Lepisosteus oculatus: one gene and its partner. The protein of the gene in region 1 binds, or shares a complex with, the protein of each later gene. Links are inferred from orthologs where the notes say so. Each region holds a gene or a part of one and is shown on either strand. Other genes may lie near its edges.

Evidence for each region.
Region 2: kat6b (region 1) and brpf3b share a complex: the UniProt entries of both Homo sapiens proteins name them as parts of the MOZ/MORF complex. The link is inferred for Lepisosteus oculatus from reciprocal best matches to the Homo sapiens genes KAT6B and BRPF3.

Annotation. Positions count from the first base shown.
Region 1 is NC_090699.1:17,865,701-17,878,212, forward strand, and holds the start of kat6b (histone acetyltransferase KAT6B), read left to right. Parts: upstream 1-7,448; 5' UTR 7,449-7,686; intron 7,687-8,870; exon of another isoform or gene 8,871-9,004; intron 9,005-12,342; 5' UTR 12,343-12,512. Other genes in the region: adka (adenosine kinase), read left to right, coding at 296-420. UniProt on the Homo sapiens protein: Histone acetyltransferase which may be involved in both positive and negative regulation of transcription. Required for RUNX2-dependent transcriptional activation. May be involved in cerebral cortex development.
Region 2 is NC_090700.1:35,947,346-35,959,745, reverse strand, and holds the start of brpf3b (bromodomain and PHD finger-containing protein 3), read left to right. Parts: upstream 1-6,756; 5' UTR 6,757-7,357; intron 7,358-11,723; 5' UTR 11,724-11,743; coding exon 11,744-12,400. Other genes in the region: mapk13 (mitogen-activated protein kinase 13), read left to right, coding at 801-974, 1,272-1,357. UniProt on the Homo sapiens protein: Scaffold subunit of various histone acetyltransferase (HAT) complexes, such as the MOZ/MORF and HBO1 complexes, which have a histone H3 acetyltransferase activity.

The DNA of each region.
Region 1 (12,512 bases):
GTATCCTGCAGCCGCCAGAGGAATCCTACTCCGTTGGGCCCCTGAGCAAGGCCCCTAACTCCAACTGCTCCAGAGGCACTGTATAAAATAGCTGACCCTGTGCTCTGCCCCCAAGCTTCTCATCTTGCCTGTGTGTCTCATGGAGAGCAAGCTGGGGTATGTGAAAAGAACAGATTAGTCTAATAAAAGAAATTGTATATGGCCAATAAAGTGATCTTATCTTATTATTGGGCTTCCCACAGCCACGTATTTCTCGGTGCTAACAGATGAACATTCTCTTTTCTTCCTTACCCAGGGTTTCTGTCACAGGTTGTTTATGAGCGGCCGCTGGAGCAGTGCATCCACGCCGGTCACTATGCGGCCAACGTCATCATCAGGCGCGCAGGGTGCACCTTCCCCGAAAAGCCAGACTTTCACTGACAGCCGAAAGGCATGATGGGAGCGCCAGCTGCTCCTGTCTCTTCCTCAGCCGCCCAACGTCGCCCCGCCGCCTGCATGGAGACTTCTGTGTTCCTGTTTCCGTTCGGTCCCGACTCCCAGAGGGCCACGATTCGGAGATGTAATTACACGAAGAGATGTGATTTAAATGGACTCAAATGAATGTTTTCATTTCCTTTTTTATATGAAAAAGAAGCAGTGATTCATTACTTAAATGGCTGTATTAAACATGTTTTAATTTTTTTTTGGGGGGGGGTGATGAACTAGTATTTGGTTTCCTTCCTCGGCCGTTGGAGACAACATTGAAGCCACATCTGGTTATTTGTTTTTGACAAGGTGCAGTGATGCATTTGCATTAATCAAACAGCAAGACTACTAAAACCTGAAGTAACTGTCTCTTGGTAATTAGCAACTTCTAAAAAGCTCTCACTTCGCTTTAAAATTAAATAAATATCGTCCCTTTCTTCAAGACAGCTCCCCCGATTTCAGCACAGGAGTTTTTATGCAGACTTCGAACTTGCCATGATATACCAAATAGTTTACGAAGCGCACATTTTGAAAACCTGTACAGATGGCCTGGATGACGAGAGGACGTCTCGTCTGCATCCAGTTATGTGTTGAAGCAGGGGAACCTTTTTCCACGTGACGCCATCTTAAACTGACAAAAAATAAAAAAAATGGATCTAACCATATGTTGTTTACTTTATGTTCTGGTTTCTAGCAATGAGTGAAAAACACTTGGGCATGTGCTGCTCTGAAGCGGCCGTCTCTGTCTGCTCCTCAGCAGAAGGGGGTCCTGCCCTGGGGGGCTTGGTGCTGCCCCCTGGGGGAATCATCCCCCACCCCACCCCCCTCCCCTGGGGACACCGTGGGGTTCTGACGAGGTGCGGCGTGTTTCTGGATCTCGATTGCAAGCCTGCGGGGGGTCATTTTTCTCAGTTATGGGATTAGTGGTTGCTCTTCATGGTGATCATTAGAGGGAGCTGGAAATTAGACTGATCCTTGGTCGCCAGCTGTGAGGCTGGTGGGTGATGGCGCTGACATTGGCAGGCAGTGGTCAGAGGGAGGCTTGAAACAGCCCTGGACGCCTCCCTCTCCACGGGAGACAGCAGAGCGGCGAGGTTGGGGGGCTCTGTGCACAGCCCCGCCCCCTTCCTAAAACTGAACAGGGCCACAGCGTGCTCACACTGCATCTCCCCGTTATCACACACACGGCCGGCCAGCGAGCCTCCTGCTCTTCTTTTTCCTCGGCTGGAGCAGGTCACCGTCCCCTCCACAAAGGAGCAGAGAGCAGGATCACAGCTTCTGAAAGACATCTTTATTATGAACAAGAGCGGGAGACGTAGTAGGATAGAGTACCGCACTCATCTTTTCAGAAAGACTTGTTTCTAATTAATCATAGCCCATGTGAGCCGTTCACCAGTAGAGTGAGCGGAGCAGTATTCATGGGCTGCTACCACAGAGTATGGACCACTACTGAAACTCCCATCTGCATGTGATTAATGAAGAAATACAGCAGAATGGTTACAGAAGGATGAGTCACCCTATCCTTTTTCCTTATTGTCTTATACAGCCGAGTTGAGATATCTTAGTGTCTTGTTTTCCACATCATCTTTAACATTAATTGAGGACTAAGTACGGCATATAAAATTTAATTTGGTGGAAATAATTTGATGGGAATTAATGTGTCAGTAAACACACACCCTTTAACTATTAATGTGCATAATAACCTTTTAGCACAAGGGCTGATGTGACACAAGTCAAATATTCTTTGGTTCTTTTGCAGTTTTTTGGGAAGATACAAATCCTCCCCCCAACTCCTCCCGTCTGTTTTAAATGTTTCAGACATTTCAGCCCTAAATTACTCATTTTTAAATTAACACAACTGAGAATACTCATGAGCCAAATCACTCTTAAGCGCTTTGCTTTTAATCTTCGCTAATATAATGAAGTGGTAGCATTTTTCTCAGATCTACATTTACTTCCAGGAACGAGAGGCAGAGAGCTGTGTCTGATTACATCAGTCTAATATGTGTTAAGACATTTATGCTAATGGAGCTTTCTTTAAAAGATTTTTTTCCTAGGGAAAATGTAATTAACAACTTGTTAGAGCCTTTTTTTCCTATCCACATTTTGCAGTGCTTCACACAGATGCAGTTTGAAAAGGATCACATTGCTGATTGGTCCAGATCACTCTCTCACTGGCAGCTGCTTAATTCTGCTGCTCAAGGTGGCAGATGGCAAAAACACAAACATACAAAAGGAAGGAGCCATGATTAAGTCATGGGAGTGTTTACAGTCATTTGGAAACTGACATTTATGGGGGGTTTCACCAATTTAGTTTGCAGATAATTGCATTTGCTTTTTTTATTATTTTTATTGCAATTGAAAGATCAGCTGTTTTGGATTGTCTTATTTTAGTCCTCGGTAGCCTTACAGAGGAAAAAAAAAGCATTGTGCTTTTTTTTCCCTCTTTGCTGAAGGCACTCCCTGTTCCCAGAGACTTCAAAGAAAGCATGCAGATTTCCATGTATACCATCCTAGCACTTTGTAATGGGACTGCCTTGGAAAAAAAAAATCCTAGGGATTGTTTTCAGATAGGTTTAAAAATGAACACTGCAAATGTGAAATAGATCAAACTAGAAGAGAATTTGGGCGTATTAAACAAACAGCTCAGTGCAGCACATTTTTCCTCCTTTTGGTTCCTGACTTCCTCGGAAAACATTTTTCTCTAAAAGCCAGAACCTGAAAGAACAGAGATCTGTCAACTGAGCACTGGCTGTGGGCAGGTGTGTCTGTCTTGAACGTCACCCTGCAGTTGGCAGTGAGCTGCAGGGAGCCATGTGGGAAGAGCCGATGGAGCAGGAGAGATCTTTTAGAGGCCACGGAGCTTCGCCCAGATATTGAGGTGCAATCCTGTTCCATTCCTGTCTGTCTTCAAAGAGAACCCTACCTCTCCCACAAGCTAGTTTCTTATCTTTAGTTAAATAAAAAACATGGTGCTGCAGATCCTTAAATAAGGCACCCATTCAATTCATTTGTAAAGTATATTTGACTGACAGAACTTCAGATTGAATAAAAGGGAATCGATTAGTCGAGGTCAAATTCATAACACTTTGCACAAGGAGTCAGGATTTTTTTCTATGTCTTATGGTATCTTGGTGTTCTTCATTCTTCAAAAGTAAAGAAACGCATATTATTTACATTATTCAGACAACATGATCATCTGAAACAGAACAAACATTGCTCCTGGTTCAAAGTTCTGGCACCTTGGCCAATCTGTGTTGCAGGACTGGGATTACAGTGTTCCCGGAGCAAAAAAGTCTAAGATCCCCACGCTGCCCCCAATCCCCTGACTTCGCCTCACCCTCACACTTCAGACTGTCTGTCCCTTGCCACGGCTCCACTGTGCCGCTGGACAGTTCTGTCTCCAGTGGGAACGGGACATGAGCCTTGGCCATCTGCCAGCGCAGCTAGGTCCCCTGTCCTTGTAGGGACGAGTTAAAAGTAAACAAATACACACTACAAAGAAGAAACTGATGTTTTTTGTAACGTGGCACTGATCTTGGAGACATGTCAGCCAGTTACTGAAGTGATTTCCAGCAGATGTGTTCGCTGACAGCCCTTCCCTCCAAGTGTCTTTGTCAAAAGCAAACGTTAGCTGACATCCTCAAGTATCAGTCACACACATGAAGTCCAGTTCTTCGTCTGGTCCAGCAGATCGGTACGGAATTTGGAGGGAATGAGAGTGAGAGTCAGCATCAGCACATTTATATTAAGCCTTTTACCCGCCTTTGTCGATTTTTGCATTCTTTTCGCCCGTTCTATAGCAGTGGGTCGGCGTAGCACTTTGGTCCACCTCGAACTCATGACTTGACGGGTTATGGGCTTGAGCCTCTGCTGCAGACATTGCAGTTATGCCTTGAGGCAGCTACTGCACCCCAGTGGCCCCAGTCCACCCAGCTGTACAATTAGTGACCAGCAGTGCTGGGGAGTCAGTATCCCACCCAGGCAGCAGTAACACGCTCTCATCACTGAAACCAGGATGAGCGGCTGTGGCTCTCATCACATATATTTTTACCTCTTTTGTAGGAGTGACAAATGTGTTGATATAGCGCCTTTCTTCCTGAAGGATCCCCAAGCACTTTACATAGACAGTAGGAGGGGACTCGCTTACTGCACCTTGGTGGCACATGACAGCAACTCTTCTGTGCCGGCAGCACCACAGCACAGCCAACCACGTGGATTGTGTAAAGCCAGCAGGTTAAACTGCTGTATTTGGTTAAAAACTATCATTTTTAAAGTACTAAAGTAAAGTGTTATTTTTCTGATTCTTTACTGAGTGTGTAATCTTCCCAACAAGTCTCCCTTCTAATCATCAGCCCAGCCTGAAAATGTTATTTCTACATTTACTGCTGTTTGTCAGTGTTCAATGAAAAGACTTCCGTCCATAACATACAATACAGCCTTAATGGGGAAACTACACTGCTCAATATAGGAATATGTGAAACTCATCTAATTAGATTTTGCTTCTAAAGATGCATTAATCATTTTAAGTTCATTTACATAGCAAAGGAATGCTGTCAGAGTTGAAAGCGTTTGTTAATCAAACTTTCCTATGTAATACTATAGAAGTCTCTTTGTGCCTCTTAGAAAAAAACGAAGAAATAGCCTAAATATTTTCCAAATGGCTTGATTACATAAAATTGTTTTTCTTGGCCACGGGACAAGTGTGATTGCCAAGGTACGATACTAAACCCTGGCTGCATTACTCACTTGCAATTAATAGCTTTCTTTCTTTAATAGTTGTCTTTCTTGAATAAAAAACACAAACTCGGCAGAGTGCATGATGATGGTAGGAATACCGTATATAACACAACTCTGCAGAAAAAAAAAATCTCCTGCCTCTATATTAACACTTCTCTACAGGAAGCAATAGTGAAATGATATTCAACAAGCAGAATGCTGTTGCCTTGAAAAACATTCGGAAGTCCCAGCGAAGCTGAACAGCAGAGCTACGTTAGACTCACTCTTGTTGGAGTGCATTTCAGCCAAGCTCTTTACCTTGGGTGACATGAATCTGTTCAGCTTTCAGTGCTGGTGGCTGTTAGGCTTCGGTCATCCTGGGGAGGGGGGGAAGAGGACTAGACCAGTGGATCATAATTAAACAGGGAACAGGCCAGGGAACGCACAAGGAGTTCAGTTGGAAATTAAAAACTGGAACGCTGCTAGAAAAAAATGTAACAAAACCCTTTCGGTATAAATATAATGTATCAATTGCAAATTGATTCTCACCGAGCAATCTGTCATCAGTTGAGTAATAAGCTTGTATTCCCAGTGTGCTGCTCCTTGACGAGATGATAAGGACTACAGGCTAAGTTTATCCTTGTGTGTTCACTGGGTTGCTTTCCAGGAAAGAAGCCAGGTGTGATAGACAAGGTGTTTGACGCCAGAAAGGTGTCACAGATGGCACCGTTTAAAAAAGCAATACATTAAGTATAAATGTTAGTTGGGGAAATTTCATTTTCTTTTTTTTATGGAGCTTTTCATCCTGAAGAATCCGACAAATCTTCACACGTCCTCGTGGCCCACTACTGCCAAAATGCTCCGGCGGATCAGGTGGAGAAATTGTTTTAGCGGCTGAATTAATTGCAATTCATTTGTGTTGATTACCTGTAGGTGCATAGGACAATCAAACTCGAGCGCGGACTAACTGGATCATTAAAGACAAACAGTCATCCATCTGTCTCAGAAGATGAACTTCTGCTTGTGAGGCTCTTGGGTGATACTGGTTCCCCTTAGAGACTGTGGGAGTCCCAGCACTGACTGACATGGACAAACTAGAGTGAGGCCCAACAAGGCTTATTTGCATTATTTGGGAAAGACAAGTACCTTATACCCATACCGAAAACACAGATATCTCAGGCTGTTTTTTCACTCATTATGCAACACCACAACATTTCATTCACAAATACATGGCCATATAACCAAATAAACTAATTTCAGGTACTGCACATACACGGCAAAATAAAATATCATAATCCAGCAATCAACATTTTACCCTGTGGGAACTATACCAATTGGCCATGCGCACATTTCTTTCTCATATCATTTCAATTCAGTTGTGCAATCTGATACCTACTGTCACGCAGGAAGAAAAAGAGACTGACGTACACAGATGTTACAGCTCCTTAGGTTTAAAGGTAATTGTATCGTGATATATGGTGAAAATACCAGGTGGGCTTTTAGCAGTCTGTCAGAGAAATGGGTTCAAACGCTTGGGCTGGGAAACAGGGCGGGAGTCTTGCAGTGTGATGTGGGTAAGGAATAGTTTTGTGGCACAATTATCGTGGGTAGGATTCTAAAATTATTAGTTGTATGTTAGGTGCACATTTGTAGCTCAAAAACGTTTCTCACATAAGGTTTTTACTTCGCTCTGACCCCTGTCCAAAAAGTTCGATCTTACAGCAAGACGAAGAGTTTTTTTAATGCCATCAATGTGTCGTAGTTTTAAGGAATTACGTAATTTTAACTTTCTTCTGAAGGACTACAACCACATGTCATTCCCTGTTAGCCTCACAAATCATGTTTTTGTTTTCACCAGGGAAAAAAAATCCATCTGTTTTACCCTTAAAGTCGCGAAACATACTTGCACTCCATTCCATAATTTAGTATGCAGTATTTTCATATCTTTGTTGCATTATTCCCTTGGATCTGGTGTGGTTTACAGACAGACACGCAGGGATTTAAACACAATTCATGTCTGTCAAAACTATTCTTATTGCAATGACAAAAGTCCTGTGATGTCCTGGCATTTTGTGAAATACGCGGCTTCCTCCAATCTAATCAATAAAATACTTCTCTCTCTCTCCCCTCTAACGATGTTATTAATAAAGGTGGTCTTTATGCCCCCCCTTCCCGAAGAGGGGAGGGAGATTAATTTCCCCTGGTCGCAGTTTTAAGTGTACACCGACAGAGGAACACGACTTTAACTCTCCTTTTCCAAAGTGCATTAGAGGCAGAGTGAAGAAAGGGGAGGGTACTACTTTGTCACAGACTGCTATGCAGATTAACCTTTCAATTAGTTGTTATCAGGTCCTTCTGCCTCAGCGCGAGCTGTCGCGTGCGTCCATTTATTAAATAAAAGAACGCCTTTGGAATTCCCGGTTTTTATTTATTTCTCCTTCATCGTTTAATTACCGCATTTATGGGGAGAAGAGAGGAGAACCCCGAGCAAACTTAAAAAAGGTAACTACCAACAAATGTTCGCATTAGCGTTAGCAGGCATTTTTTTTTCCTCTTTCCCCGGTTTCGTTCGTTCTTCTTCTCGTTCTCGGTCTGGTTATATTGCAAAGATTGAGCGTGGAGCAGCAGCAGCATCATCGTGGAATCATTTCACGTTTAACTTGAAAACCGCGCAGAAATTTTACAGTGGTAAAGAGGCGTGTTACTGGAGAAAATGGTCTGGGCGACATAAGAATGCATCTTTTAAGTGTTGCGATGGAAATTTCCAGATTTTATACATAGACGCTTAGACTTCCATATGACCTGGTTGATTTTATGTCCTCGAAAATCAGTATTTGTCAAGAAATGTCGAGTTGGTGATTTATTTATCGTCAGGTAAAAGATAAATATTAAGCGCATGTGTTAATTTTTTGGGGGAAAGAGGCGATGCAAAATAACGAGAATGAATTCCGTGCATGCATTTTACATTTGTTTAAATTATTTGCACGGGTGGTGAAATGCATGGAAAAAAAGGTTTCACCAAAAAATCGAGAGCATCGTGTAGCCCAGCGCAAAGATGGTGTTACTGCAATTAAAGCAGCGAAGCAAACGTTCTCGTATTGCAAAGCTCCGCTAAGGATATAAACATTACAGCCCGACAAACTTCGGCATAGGCGATTATGTGGTACTTTAGCAAATAAATGATGGATATAACCGTCAACCAATTAAAATCTAAAATGTTCCAATTCACTTTCGACAGTAGCCAATCGATTCGAGATGGAGCCTTTGTAAAGGTGGGCTGGCGAGGGTTGAGTCTCTGCTTGCCAAGTCACGGGGCATTTTTTCAGCTTGTGTGAACTCTTTGCTGTCATTTTTTATCTTAGTCGATGACTCGATTAATAAATCCTTTGGCTAAATCCCGTATTGAGTCGTGCTTTAATTTAATTTTTTGTAATCCCTGGGAAACCGCACCGGGGGATGTGCGAGTGGCATGCAGCGTAATTTACCGATTACCTTAAGAGGAGGGACGCCGAGGAATGATTGGCAGCTGTGCCCACCAGTCGCGTAGACGAGTTGGCCGAAGGGCAGGCCTTAGGCGGATGACTGACAAGACGCTTATCAAACCAGAAATCGGGCTTGGTGTTTCTGGACCAATATTAAAGTTGCTGGGGAGGGCGCATCAGCGTGTAGGTAAGGCTTAATGAGACTCCATTGGGCTGTAATCAGTGTCATGTCGGATTCATGTAAACTACAACATTGTAACAAAATGGCGTCTGTTTAGGTAACACCAGCAGGCAGCGGCGCAGGCAGCCCTACAGCCACTCAGCTGTTAGAAGTCCAGGTTTGTGGTTTGCCTTTCATTCATTGCAGCGCGCACGTTAATTGCAGCATTAACTCGCCGTCATAAATTATCCTTGATCACCCGTCGGAAGCGGACGCACAGTGTGTTTCGTGCGAGGTAACCCAGAACATTGGTGATGCACCTTTAAACTTGAAACCAGAACAGTGACAGGTTTTTACTCCGAGCGACGATGTCCCCCCCCCCCCCTCCTCGGTGGGTGGTTAGCGAGTGTTTCTTTAGTGAACTTCGGGCGCGTCTCAAGTTTAAGGAGAGGCGATTAAACACGCGAGCGCCTGGTGTGAGAGGGATGAGATTCACACCTGGAGTGCTTTCTCACGTTAAATGTTGTTTAATTTTTATTTTCATCCCGATGTGTGTGCGCTTGTTAGAATGGGCTCCCCCCCTCCCTCTCCCCCCCTCCACGGTCGCGCAGAGTTTGGAGTCGCGGCCACGGTCGCCCGTGGGAGTGCGCGAGCGGACCGTGACAGCGGAAGAGGGACACGCAGCGGAGGCGGGGGGGACGGAGTTTGCGGGATGCGTGTCCGCTTCTTGCAGTGCTCGCCTGCCCTGCAGCCGCAGTGTGATCTGGGGGTTGTAGCAGGTAGAGGAGCCCGAGAGAATCTGCACACTGCGGGTCACCTGCTGGCTGCTCGGCGCACTGCTCGCCCCGCAGGCCTGTAGCAGATGGAGAGAGAAAAAAACACTCCTTACGTGCACGTGTGGTTTTGATATCGATATGTTTTTATTGATGGAGGGCTTTTGTGTCCGTTTGACTATTAGATGTTCACGTTTTTTTTTTATTTCACTCTGGTGTACTGGGATGTCTGCTGCCCGGCTACTTTTTAGAGCGGAAAAGTTGCTTATTAAACGTTAGTAAATAATGTGGTTGTTTGGGCGTTTTAAAATACCCCTCCCCTTTTGTTTCCTGTTGTAGTCAGGTACTTTCTGTTCTTCTGAACTTGCTGACCTCCATTCTGACCTACGGGAGCTGTGACACTAGTTGGGACACTAGAGATTTGGCTTTTGTTGACAAATCCCTAGTGTTTCTGATATAAGAGTTGAGACAAAATATGTGTATGCAGTCCCAGATCTCTAGCTTAAAGTCTCAGACAAACCCTGACTGATGGTTTACCGCCACTTCTCCAAATCCGTCTCCAGCTCCAGTCCTCCTGGTCAGACTCGATCCATCTGTCTCTTACCCCCTCCTCCCGATCCAGATCAATCTCACTCCAGCACCACAAGAAGAACCTGCCTGAGTGCTGTCCAAGTGGTCTTTTGGCCGTACTGTACTGCACTGCGTGTGCCCAGTTTCAGCTTCGTTTTTGCCCCTGATCTTCAGCGCGGTTACTGGTGGAGCGATCTGTCCATCTCTGTGTGTCAGCTGGCCCCCAGGAGGTCACTGCAGGGTTTTTTTCGGCAATGGGCGGGCCCCACAGGACTGCAGGAGAGCCTGTTGAGGTGACGCCGCAGGTAGCCGGGCTCAGAATCCTTAAAGGTGACAGTTGACTGAAATAATAGTAGCTATGTGTGACGTATGTAAATCTAATGTTTATGTCCTGTTAACTGAGCATTATTTGTTTTGGTGTAGGGGGAAAAAAAAAACTATTGGAGCCCCTGCCTATTGAAAGTCACCTGATAGGCTTTAGGTTTTGTCTGTATTATTTTTATTCAACAAGTGACCTGTGACTGACATCCATTTCCTCATTTCTTTCTGCATCTCATGATGCTTTTGCAAAAGAATGTCCACAGAATCGGGGGTGATTTACAAGTACGCATATCTCTCTATCCTCAGAGGTGTTCTTGGAGTGGAGTTGCTGGTGAGAGATCTCGGTACCAGTAACGGCACTTTCTCAGCTGGATGACCACCTTGTAGCCCGCCCGCCCTAGTCATGTCTCAGATGTAAAAGAGGGGTGGGCCTGGTCAGAACAGGGCTGGGAGACCTCTTAAGGAAAACAGCTTGCTCCTACAAGTGGTGATTGTAGACCAGTAGGTGGCGCTCTTTCATTTGGACCACGATTTATAAACCATTCCTCCAGTTTGGAGGTACTGTCCTTCAGATGAATTGTAAACCCAGATCCTGACTTCTGGGTCATTAAAGATCCCATCAGTATCTACCTGAGGAGTTCTGGCTCAGTTCCACTCTGGGCTTGTACAGTCTGCCCTCCTTCAGGCTCCTCTTAATTCCGCTGGTGGTGCAGTTTCCTGTCTCCTCCCCCTGATCCGCTACGTGGTGGGGCTGCTGTGTGTGGACACAATGGGTGGACATAAAGCAGTTTGAGATCTTTTGAGATGAAAATTTCTACACACATTAATAAGTAAAGCCGTTTGTCTCTCAGAAAATCGCAGTATGCGAGACGCTTGTCTGTTCCAGGGATTAGAAGACTTAATCTTGGCGTGAAGTCGTTGCTGTCAAACATTTGTAGCAGGTATTAGCGATGCTTGTTTTCTGGCCTTTTTGATGTGATCCGTTCTTTCATGCTGTAGACGGGTTATGATATTATCTCTTTGCTTTCTGCCCATTCAGATATGGTCTGCAGTGGTGTAGAGCCAGGACGTTTGTCTGTGCATCAGGGGGTCTTGATGTGTTACTGGCTCTGGCCTGTGCCAGAGGTTTTGTTGGGATGCTCCGGGAGAGTGGCAGGAAGCGGGGCCTTGCCCTTTTCCACGGGTGACAAGTGCAGATGTGCTCATGGCAGGTTTGCGGACCAGAGGGCTCCACTTGGCGAATGTCAGGAGACGAACGCTGAGGGTGTTCTGCAGCGTCAGCTGTTCAGGTTCCTTGAACGCGAAGGGAAGTAACCAGGCGGGTTTATTTTTTGCTCTATGATAAAGATCTTTCCGAGGCTGAGCAACGGAGACGGCTGAGGTTAGAATCGAGATTTTCCCCAGGTATAGGATTTCCCGTGGAAATACGCAGGATAAGGATGAAATACCTTTCAGTCTGTTTAAAAACCGAACATGAGTGTTTAAAGCAAGGTCTTGGGGTTGGTGCTTTCTGTTCATGTCTCATTTTCAGTTCACTGCCAACAATACACTGTGACGGTAGCTGCAGCTCTTTCCTGTGCTGATGATAAGTGGGCACACCTGAATTATCCCAGTTGTTTTGTTTTGTGACTGATGGAAACTCTTAAGTAGATACAGTAGTCATGCAGTGTCGTGTATCAGTCCACATCTGCTCTCCGCTTTAGTTCTTTGAGTCGCAACCTGAAGTTAAACCCGTCCTGTTTTTTATTTCAAAATCGAATCCCAACGGATTACTGAACCGCTTTTAGGAAGCAAGCCTGTTAATTCATTCTTGCTGTAGTAATCTGCTTTCTCTTCTGACTTCTTTTCGTAGGTTTCCGTCGAGTTTTCCGAGCCCAAACCATTAAGGATTTGTCTTCAGATGAACCGTGCTCGGCTGTTCACTTCCCTGCTGTTCCAAGGATTTACAGTCATGATGCCACGTGCTGCACCGCCACATTTCATTCCAAAGTCCCTTTGGAGCTATGGATGCATTTAACGCGT
Region 2 (12,400 bases), on another chromosome or scaffold:
CCGTCACTGATACTGCTGTTACCCTGTACACCCGTCACTGATACTGCTGCTACCCTGTACACCCGTCACTGATACTACTGTTACTTTCTACAACCGACATCTATACTGCTATTAATTTCTACACCCGTGCAACCTTTATTCATACAGCCATAGCAAGAATTGCTATAACTAGTAGTGCATCAGGCAATATGGTATAGATTATACTGCAATAGCTCTTACTGGTGTAGCTAATACAGCTGTTAATACTCCCTGTGAAATAATACTACCCATTGCTAGTATCATTATACCAAATAATTTCAATAGGTAACATACACATTGCCGGTACAGGTTCTGAGCATTTTTCTGTAATATTAAAGCATTTTGCTACTGTAAAATGGCCCTGTACATGTGTACTGTAGGTGAGTTATGTGCATTGGTGTGTGTGAGTATGTTCATGTGCTTTTATTAGTGAGCAGTCAGACCCCCTCCCACCCTCAACACACGTCCCACCTCTTCCCACTTGGGTAGCGCAGTGAGAGTCTGGTCTCTGCAGTTACAGGCAGTGTCCTTGTGCAGCTGGTCTCCATGGTAACAGGTTCTGTGCGCTGTGTTCAGCAGCTTTGAGCTGCTAATTAAAAAGTGAAACTGTGGTTAACTGGAATGGGGGGGTAAGGGGGGGAGGGGTCATAGGGCAGTTACATTTCTTCCTGTGTTACCAGTCAAACAGCCCTGCAGGGCTGGACCTTTTAACAACTTACACAGAGCTGGAGGTTTGTGTTTCTGTGTGTGTGTGCTGAGACTAAGGCTTTCTTTCTTGCCAGCGGTGGACCTGCTGGAAAAGATGCTGGTTCTGGACTGCGACCGGCGACTGACTGCGGCCCAGGCCCTGGCTCACCCGTATTTTGACAGCTTACGGGACCCCGAGGATGACATTGAGGCCAAGCCTTACGATGACACGCATGACAACGCCACCTTACCGGTCAATGAGTGGAAACGTGAGCCAATACATTGACTCTCCACCTTCTATTATTACACTAATAATCAGTCTGTCTAGTCCTCTTGTCCTGGTGAGGATCATGGCTACAGTAACTCAGAGTATTATGGTTAATAAATTCAGTGCTATTACATCTTTCGTGTTTGCTGAGAAGGAAGTCGCCAATATGAGTTTGCCAAGCTATTTTTCTCATGTACAGTGCCACCCGGTGGATAAATCTAGTGTTTGCTCTGACACTGCTGGATTTTTTACCCAAGATTTGCCTAATTATTTGTCTTCTCCTTCCTTCCTCCCCCAGGGCTGTCCTTCAAGGAAGTAAAGAGCTTTGTCCCGTTTCCACGGCGAGACTCCAAGAGGCGGAGCACACTGACGATGTCACATTGACGTGGGAGGGAGAAATGCGGACTCACACATATATGCAGACACACCTACTCGACAACACACACAGACATGCCTGCTGGGGCTCTAGGGGAGAGAAGAGCCTCTTAAGCCTTATTTCACTGAAGGTCTTAGAGATGATCACCCTACCACAGTCATGCAGAATACGCTCAGTGTGCCGTAGAGCCAGCATAAGAACAGATGGATGGTTAGATGCTAGATGAGGCTGTTTTTCCATTTTGATTACTTGTAGCATATTGATCTGAGGGTGTTTTTTCAAGTCTTCATTGAATGTTCCCAGGGAAAGATTCTGGGACATCTTAGAGTTCTCTGTGGAGATTAGCTGAAAGGATTGTTTACTGTCACTCCAGCCACACAGAGACACACAGGTGATCATGTTTGAGGCTTCATTTATTGATGTAGTCCAGTTAATGGGGAAAGCTCAGGGGGGAGCTTTAAAACATCTTTTATTTTGATCATCTTGTAGTGTCTTTTTTATTTTAGGTGGATTTTTATTAATTACTTTTCAAAAACCTTTGAACACATTGGAAAATCCTTAAATGTACAGGACTTTTAAATATGTAGTCAAATGTTTTTTATCTGAATTTAAGTTTAACAAGGTGCTTGTATTTTTGAGTGAGCAATGTACTTCTTTTCTATTTCAACTATCTGAGAACACATCCTTTATGTACAGCATTGTTTGTTATTTTGGTTAAAAAATGTCAACCAGAAAACATCTAAGGGTTAACAAAAAAACATAAAGCTATTATTAACTTTATATATAGTATAACTATAAGGGATAAACCCTTATCCTTTCAAGCGCATAGTACGTAGTGTGAGGCCTGATGCAGATGCTCTTGAGGGTGGTTGAAATTCGCTCATTTTGTGAGACAATGGGAAACTTAAGGTGTCTTTGGAAGTGCTGACTGTGCTCAGGCAGGTCGAAGCAGACAGATAAAGGTGCTAAATAAAACCCATGTTTATGAGAAATGTCTCTGTGCTAATGGAAAGCCTATCTATTGCCAGGACAGGAGTTTCATGGGTTGAGTCCTGGCTGGGCAGGATAAGTTATCTAAATGAATTTATTACACTGGGTGAACAGCCAATAAAAAAAAGGATGAGAACGTTAGAGGGTTTCATGAGACGTTACAGTTATGGCATGCTGAGTCAACTCAGAAGCTCAGTCTTACAGGAGCAGTTCACCAGGCTGGCCGATTTTAATCCGCAGAGCTAAACACATTCACAGTCGTGGAGTCAGAGAACCGCTCACAAGAAGAAAGGGCGATCTTAGAATTATTCTTGAGATAAGAATTATTCTTTCACATGCTCCTCTGATAGGAATGGTAGGAGGACCAGTGGTTGACCAGTCCAGGCCAGAGCCTACAGTACTGAAGAGGTTAGAGTCGGAAGAAGCATCAGTGTGCAGGCTGCAAAGTAACAAGCAGGGGTTAAAGCAGGGTTAATTCAACACTGAACAGTAAAAAAGAAGATAACCTGTGCTTGTTGAAAAATACCAAGATCATCCCTCGGACTCTCAAAAGCACCCTTTGTAGAGCACAGCGTTTCTGTATCTCATGGAGGGCTGAGATTGCCTTATGTAAAGCTTATTCAGCATCAACTCAAATGGTGTCTGGATTAATTGTTTGTGTACATTTTTTAAATGTGTTATGTTTTTTTTTATTCTACTCCTTGTAAAATAAAGAGATATTGAATATGTGCAAATTAAGGTCCTTAAAGTGAAATGTTGCCACACTCTGGTGTTTACTGTCTTTGTTTTATTACTTTGATGTGTTTATATTTTTAATGTAATAACCTGTGACTTATCTTTGCCAACAAAAAATTGGTTCAAGTTTGTGGAAGCGTTTAATTTAAATGTAAAAGCTGAATTTAACATTTTTAACTAAAAGACCGTGATGATATATTGTGTCAATAGTGTCCTATTATAAATTATCCTAAACTAAGTTATTCTGTTGATTAGGTCGAGATTTACACATGTCCCCAGTTCACACAGAACCAATAATGGAAGGATGTGTTGAATAAAATGCTTCTTTTGAAAATCCTCCCACCAATGACTGGGGAAAAAGAAGCAAAACATTTTTACAGCATTATTTTAAATAAATGCACTCTTAATTTAATATTAAAATTCCTGAGCTATACTTCAAGATCCATGAAACTCGCCAGTATCCTGAGATCTCATAATTGTTATCGGACAGTCTTTTTCATTTTTAATACCCCTTGCCATTAAAGAGTTTTCAGGATGCACCCTTGTTTCCTTCACAAAGTGGTAATCGTACAATGTACTCAGAAACTCGGTAACAACAATAAAATGATTCACAGTAAAAAAATTAAAAGAACTGCTTCTATAAGCGGTTTCTGCTCATAATGTCCTTGATATTTACTTTTGCATTGTCTTGTCAGAACAATTCTGTCAAGCACAACTAAGACATTTACAGCAAGGTCTGCTTCAGTCATTAGAGGCAAAATATTGAAATATTTTTTTTTTAGATACTGTCGGCGTTCTGAGTTGCGAGTTCACAAGGCCTTTTTGTTTTGTGAAAAGGTCATCTCTCACGGCATCAGCTGATAAGAGATATGGAGCCTGATTTTCCTGGGCTGACTGGGATTTGACTGTCCTTCAATTGCGACGGCTCTGGCTGCAGTAGCTGGCACACAGCTTGCCCACAGTGCAAAGTGAAGCCTTGTCAGGATAAATGAGGGTTGTTGCTGTTGCAGAATGGGAAGGGAAGGGCAACACAAGCCCACATGCTGATAACTTTTCTGCTTGAAAGTGCCCATTAAGCAGAACTGAAGCAAAAGGATTTGGAGAGAAAATGTGTAATGCTGCTTTTATTTTATTTTTTTGGTTGGGGGAATCAGTAGTACAGGGGTTAGCAATGTTGCCTTGAAGCCTGGGGCCCTGGGTTCAATTCCTGGGGTGCTGTTTGTGTGAAGTTTGTATGTTCTCCCCTTGTTGGCATGTGTTTTCTCTGGGTACTTCGGTTTCCTCCCACAGTCCAAAGACTTTTTTTTAACAAAATAAACTTTAATTGCATGATACACATCACTCCTGCAATTTGTACATTCTACCAAACCACAAAGACTACTCACGTTCTAAGAAGGGTGATTGTCCTTTTTTCAATCTGTGCAAGTGGTTGCTGGGGCTGGATTTGCACAATAAAAAGAGTTCCTCCAAGGCTCTAACACTTTGTTGCTTCATTCTCCTGCAAATCCTTCACAGGGATCCTCTCCTCCAGCTCCCTCGCTCCCCACTCTGTGTGTTGTGCTGGATGAGAGTGTTCCTCGTGTTCCACAGTCCTTGTTTTATTAGGGACACCAGTAGTTAAAGCAAGGAGAATTGGGACTGTGGTTAAGGATCTGTGCCTGTGGCTGGAAGGTTGCCGGTTCAAATCCCATGGCCAGCAGAGGAATCCTACTCTGTTGGGCCCCTGAGTAAGGCCCTTAACCCCAACTGCTCCAGGGGCGCTGTATAAATGGCTGACCCTGTGCTCTGACCCCAAGCTTCTCTCTCCCTCCATCTGTCTGCCTGTGTGTCTCATGGAGAGCAAGCTGGGGTATGCAAAAAGACAAATTCCTAATGCAAAAAATTGTATATGGCCAATAAAGTGATCTTATCTGATCTTAAGTACTGTGTCCCTTGTTCCAATCTGGTCGGTTCTGGCCCCAGCGGGATGCACTGGTAGCTGAGCACTGTTCTCGTCCAAGACAGTGTAAATGAACGTTGGGCCCTGGTGTGAGTGTGAATGAATGTTTGTGCGCCCTGCGATACAGACTGGCGCACTATCTAGGGTGTACCTTGTGCCTTATGCTTGCCGGGATGGACTCCAGCTCCCCTGCGACCCTGAATTGGATAATAAAGTAGTTGGAAAATAGATGGATTGAATCAGTGTCATAAAATATTTGCAAGACTAAAGGTCAATTTACAAGGTAGCTCAGGGATGTGAGGGTTAACGGAGGATCATCCTGGCTGGTGACAGAAGTGGGCAGCTGTGTAGGTGTTGCAACACTTGGGGACACTCGTGGGGGGGAGGAGGGGTCGTTCCTAAAAACATTTGTCACTACACTGCTTACACCTGGATTTCTGTTCCCTGTGAAGAAATGGAAAACACTTTCAGAGGGTAATTTCACAGTCCTAGGCAGTTTACCACACATTCATTTTGTATCCCTTTTTCATTCATTTTTTATTTTAAATGGCACTAAAATGTTTTGGGAAGCTTTTAATGTAACTGTGTGTGTCTTGGGGGAGGTAAAGTGGGACCTAGATATGCGCATGGGGGGAAGGGGTGTTTGGTGTGTAGTTTCAACTCCACCCACCCCTGAGAGACTGAACTGTAGCAAAACATGCAGAGCTGAGCACCACATTGTAACAAGCAAGACACCATCACAAGATCAGTCATACCAGTGGTTCCCTACAATGGTACTGGATGGCCCTGTGTCGGCTGATTTGTTTTTGTTGAGCTGAGCTATACAAATCCCAGTGCTTAAACCCAAGACCTCGTTCTTGAGAGGGGAATATACCCTCACCTCAAGATATCGCTTCCAGCAACCTCTGCATACAGATTTACAAGCAGACGCTCCTCAATTTGTTGAACCTAATTTTATTGTGGTTTACGCACTTGAATGAGGGCAGTTCTGAAACTCAGGAACTGGCACAGAGTCGATATAAATTACAAGCACTCCATAAACTTGGACAGCTGACAGCAACTTTTTAAAGTCCGTTTAGAAAACGAAAAGCAATGACCATTTCTATGATTAAGAAATCGTCTGGATCGTAAAAAACAGTCGACAAGAGTTAGAATCATTGGTATAAACCTCTTGCTTAAATTTTAAAGAAGACTGAAGTCTTCACTTAAAAAAATGCTGTGCAACACTCGATGTACACGTGTGCTTCGCTTCTGGGGGGAATGCCACAAGGGCAAGGTCATGGAAAACGATAGCGTTACCCTGTTTTTCTTGCATTTTAGCTCGTGTTTTTCACTCGGAAAACTTTTTTTTTCCGTTACTGACACTGGGAAAGACCCGGGATTCATTAGAGTGAGTGGAAAAGACACCTCTTGTACTTATTTTAAATACAGTCAATGAATCCGTAATATCTTGAAAAAGAGACTGAAGAAGCATTCCAGTGAACACTAGGTCCTACTCCTAAAGACATGCAGTAGGCTACCATTAGCTTCTACAGACGGACTAAAAGCATAATGGTTATCAAATCAATAGTACGTTATTATGACCATCACTGCGATACGCACATTCAATCTCACTTTGTCAACAAAGAGAGGCAGGGTGAAGGAATTCAGTCGAACGCGGTGCGAGGAGTGGGCTTGCACAGAAACCACGCCATGCACATGTATTTTTCTACAGGCGGGGGTAGCCGCTGCCGCATAGTAAAGAGAGCGCCCGGCTTGCCTGCTTTTCCTGTGCAGCTCCAACAAGTCCGCCGCACGCACTGTGCAGCGCTGTACCCGGGATGAGCCCGGAGTAACTGGCATGGCGCGTATGAAGGGGAAGGTCTACGTACTGGTCGTGTGTGTTGGCGTTGTGCTCCAACACACGGGACCGGAGTGTGTGTGGCGATGTTTGTGTCGGAGGGAGACACAGTAATATCGTACACTACCACGGGGTTTCCATGTTTGTCAAACAACCAGCTTCGGCAGCTCGCTTCTTTTAAAGGGGCGTGTTCTCGCTATCTTGATTGAAAGCGCCGCTTTCCCTTAGCTATCGCTGGGGAAAAAATCCTTTCGTAGCCAGACCAGGGTATCTACCTTCTCGTGTTTCTCTCAAATAAACCTTGGCACTACACTTGCCTGTTCTCCCTTAATTCTACTGGAAAACGTTCAGTCGTGGCCATGATGGAGGGTTGAAGCTGGGAAAAGGACGTTTGCACACCGAAATTTGCCGGCTTTTTCGGCCGAAGCACCCAGAGCGACGGCTCCGCTCTCCTTGGCTGTTTTTTAGCTGCTCTTGCTGTCGAGTTGCCTTTTGAAAAACAAGGTAAATGTTTAAAGTCGATTTTTTCTTATTTTTTGCGCTGCGGCGAGGTTGTTTTTAAGCAGGGGTGTAGACGGTTTTTTACTCAGAAAATTAATGGAGATTCTTAACTGCCCCCCCGGTCAAAGAAAACGGGCAATAACATAATACTGAAGGAGAGTTTTAATGTGATCTTGAGGGGATATGGCAGGAGAGGAAAGGCGCTTATTAACCGACATTGTGTTTGGGCCTGCTTGTTGTAGCGTCGTGTTGTAAAGAGAAATATTTCGATCAGCACTACAGTTTAGCGGGGAAGATGGCTGCCATCTTCTCTCCTTCTGGAAATAAAACACAGCCAACCAAACTATGGCGGTTAGGACCGCCTCTGCTAATGGCTGATTGGCTTCTTGAAGACCCTGTGAGGGCGGCAGGAGACTCTGATTGGCCGAGCGGAAGCTCACTTATGAAAAGTGGGTCTGGGGTGTTCTTGGTGGTTAAGTGTAGGGGATTCCTTCCAGAAAAATCTCCCCGAAAAACACAAGCAAAGAAAGAAGGGTATATCGGCATGAGCGAATAAACCGTTATGTCAGCTCTCAGCAGCGTTGTCAGAGAGAGATCGCGTGTTGTGGCAGTAGTTTGCGAGCTGTGCGGGTGTGTGGAGAGATGAGGAGCTTGATTTGCATAGGCCCGCCCCCAACAAGCGAAAATAAAAACATGTCATTTTGCAAAAGTTTTGCCGCGATCACAGCTGAAGGGGCATTTGCGTGTTTAGGTTGAATTTAAGACCAGTAAACTCTACCCGTTGATCCGGTTTTGATCCTTTATAAATTGAATTTTTCACTTTCTTGTCCGTATTTGATTAAACTCGCCGCTCCAATGCCATAGGCAAGAAAGAGGGAGCCTCGACTTGTTTTCTTCTTGGTGGTGGGGGACAGTTTGACAAAGTAAAATGAGTGGCTTTCTAGATAAGGACACAGGAGGGGAGTGATGCTCTCATTGAGTAGCTGGCTGAACAGGTGACCGGGATTATTTTGAGGGGGAGTATTGAATTTATCCCCCGATGCGCAAAGAGGACAGGAGCTCTAACACCGCGCCGTCAAGTCACGTGTGAGCCAGCTGTGTGTGTGCTCGGTGCAAGATCACTTCCGCCTCCACGCGTCACGACGCCTGCGCAGCGAGGCGGGAGCATTTAAATCGAAGGAGGAATGGTTGTCTTTTGGGTTGGGTCTCGCCGTATTTATGGTCTATTTACGTTTTTACGAAACATTATGGCCGCCAATTCAGGGAGTGCTTTTAAAATGGGCTTTTTAAAGCAAGACCCTAAAAGGATTATGTACCGCCGCAGAGCTTTAATTATTTTCTGAACAAAGACAAAGTTGTGAGTGCAAAGCGCGAGGAAACGTTTAGTGGATTCGGCTATCACTGTGACTCAAAGGTGTTCCGACCGATAACTGCAAAACAGTGTGATATTTCTCATAAAAATATAGATCAAGTCACATTCCTGATTATTGCCTTCATAGGCTGGCCCTGACACTTATAGGCACTTATAGTTTGGTATGTGCCGTTGATCTAAAGTAATAATAAACTATTTTATATAGCACCTTTAAAGGTGGCTTCTCAAAGCACTTTACAGAATGTCAACAACAATAAATAAAAAGAACATGCAAGATAAAACACAATTACAATACAGAGAGGAGAGGGTCGATGGTGGTACTAAGTATAGTAGGAGCAGAGGGGTAAGGAATGGAACCAGTTAAGTAAAGGCTCTTCTAAAGAAGAAGGTTTTGAGTCTGGATTTGAAGGAGTTTAGCGAAGGTGAATCTCGGATATCCTTGTGGAGAGAGTTTCAGAGCTTGGGGGGGCGTAACAGGAGAAGGCCCTGTCACCCATACAATGTAGACAGGCTTGGGGGACAGTTAGGAAACCAGAATTAGAAGAGCGAAGGTTGCGAGGTGGGGAGTAGGGCGACAATAGTTCAGACAGGTTCTTGAGGTGCTAAGCCATGCAGAGCATTATAGGTGAGCATGAGGATTGTAAATTCCACGCGGAATTTGACAGGAAACCAGTGCAAGGACGTGAAGAACACTTGCACTAGACCTGGTCAGGAGTCTGGCTGCCGAATTTTGGACATTCTTCAGTTTGTTCAATGTAGATTTAGATACCCCAGTTAGTAGAGCATTACAGAGCTTTTCAGCCCCAGTTAGTGATAGCATTGGGCGTAGTGTAGCGATATTTCGATGTTGCATGTTTGCATGTTACGTCTGTGTTTGTGTTAGTTGCTGAATGTATCTGTGCAGACTTGCCTCTGACATGATTTGCCTAGTGTTAGTATCCAGCAAGTTCCCCTTGTGAATTGTGCTTTTATATTGAAGATGGTCCTCTCTGCTGTGAACGGCAGTATGTAAAATGGCAGTGCGTTATGGAGCCAGCTGTCATATCTCCTGAGAGAGTGCTGGACTGATGGAGAGGATGGGTCAGGAGAGCCACGGATGGCAGAGCTGGTGCCACAGGTCCTACAGGTTTGTTCTAGCCAGCAGCTGTGTGTGACCTGTGGAGAAAAAGGTGGTTCTGACTGCACTAAGGAATTGATTGCTGGGTTGGAGTTGTTTGGAAGTCTTTGTGGCCCCCTTAGGGTCAATTGTTAACACATTTATAATCATAAAAAAACAATGGTGAAAAGATTTTTACTGGTGAATTTTTCACACTTGATTTTCACATTTGATTTTGGCATGGAGTTAGCTGTATTCTCTTAACATGACCAATGGGATTTGAGACTCCTTCAGTGCTGCATATATTTCCCTGTAACCCACTACAAGCGCGTCAAATACAGAGGTCCAGTTTACCTCTTAAATGCAGCATTTCAGTGCAAAGGAGAAGTGATCTATAACGAATATCCTCTTTGCATGGATATGACCCAGAAAACACTATATGGGGAATGATAGTGATATACATACTACTATATTGAATATATATATATAGAAGGCAGTATCGAAGTTGTTTCTTTATGCAACGAGTCTGGCAGTGTGGAACAAGGCACCTGGCTATGTTGTAGAAGCTGATACCCTGGCTTCCTCCTAGAAACAACTTGGCTTCTAGGTTCCTTGGATCGGTTCGATATTGAGTACTGAATGTGCCAAAGTGTCTCCTCTCGTTTGTAACTGTTTTTGTGCACTGAAGCATCTAACACTGGAAAGGTAATTAATCCCACAGCCTTCCCTCTGCCCTCCAGCAGAAAACTAGGCCAGCTGAAGAGTATGGAGCAAGGACCCAGCAAACGTAACACTCCTTTCTTGTGAAATAACATCTCATCAGAATTGATGTTCTGCCTTTAAAAAGCCAAGCACAGGGGTGGCCTACGACTGGAGCCACAAACTGGAGAGCCGTAGACCAGCAGGTCTTATGTGGCACATCAGCAAGACCAGGCAAGAGCAGCCTCTGTAAACTGTACTAGAGCTCAAGGAACACAAAGGTGAATTTATTAAATCAAAAGCCTGTCTTGATGTTTAAAGATCTTTTCTGCAGCTGTGGTGAAGTTATAGTTGCAGGAACAGAGGCACCGTACTGCTACAGACAAACGTGTCCATTCCTAATGTTTTTACAGGTGGCCGAAGAGGCTCTGCCTTGAGACAAGAAGTCTCAAGATTTCCCAGTGAACTGTTCTGGGAGAAGTGGGAATTTGCAGGTTTGCCCACCTGACTTGAATCCCAGCAGCTTTAAATAATCGGTGTTAATTGCTTACTTTAATTGACACCTGAAGAAGGCTTCACAGCCGAAACGTTGTGCTTTCTCTCTTCTCTTTTCAGCATGGAATGAACCTATTACTTATTACTTTAATTGATGATTATAAAGCTGTGAATAGGTGATCAATTTATGATGAACAGACCAAGGTGGAAATGACAGTTGCCAAGTACTCCCTGAAGGTGTTTTCCTTTGAAAACTAGAGGGGGGTCTTCATTTTAAGAAGCAGGTACAGGACTAATGCAAGTTCCATTCGACATTTGAAGACGTGAAAGCAAATTTAAAAATAAGCCCCACATAGAAAACTGAAAACAAATTAGCCTGTTGTAAAGATCTGGCTGGCGCAAAAGCCAGAAGACGAACCACTGGCAAGAGTATTTGGGAGTGCTTGTTTTAATATGGCATGTCTCCATGTCCTGGAAGCTCTGCAGTGTCCTGCTAGCAGTAAAGAGTTTGAAATGTAAATGAGTTTTGATGTAGTTTTGTTCATCAGCAGGTGATTGTGGAGCCTGTTGAGTCATTGTGATCAGTTGCCACGTTGGGATAGGAAATTAGCAACCACTTCCAAATCGTTCAAAACAAAGTCTGTTGCCATATAAGCTGACCCCCAGTTTTCTCTGTCTTCTTCTCTCGGTCTCTCCCCTGGCGTCAGGGAGGTAGTGCGGGGGGCAGATGAGGAAGCCGCGGAGGCGGGGGCGCCAGGCTGGGGGGGTGGCGGCGGCAGCAGTGGGCGGCGGCCTGGGCCCGCGCTCGCCCTCCCCCTACAGCCTCAAGGTGTCGCCGGCGCGGGAGACGCTGACCTACGCCCAGGCGCAGAAGATGGTGGAGGTGGACCTGGATGGCCGGCTGCACCGCATCAGCATCTTCGACCCGCTCACGGTCATCACCGAGGACGAGATGACGGCGCAGGACATCGCCGAGTGCAACAGCAACAAGGAGAACAGCGAGCAGCCCCTGTTCCCCAGCTCCAAGCCTGGCAGGAAGCCCCCTGCCACCAAAGGGAAGAAGAAGGACACCGCCAAGCATTCCTCCTCCTCCTCCTCACACGTAGGAGGAGGGCAGCACAACCAGCACCCTCCATACCACCATCACCCCAACTCCCACACGCCGCATCACGCTCTCCCCAAGCCCACCTTCCGCATCCTGGACTCCTACGCGCCCTCCGAGGCCCCGCCCCTCCCGGCCGCCTACTACCGCTACATGGAGAAGTCCGCCGAGGAGCTGGACGCCGAGGCCGAGTACGACATGGACGAGGAGGACTTCGCCTGGCTGGAGATGGTCAACGAGAAGCGGGTGTCGGACGGGCAGGCCTCGGTCTCGCCCGACGCC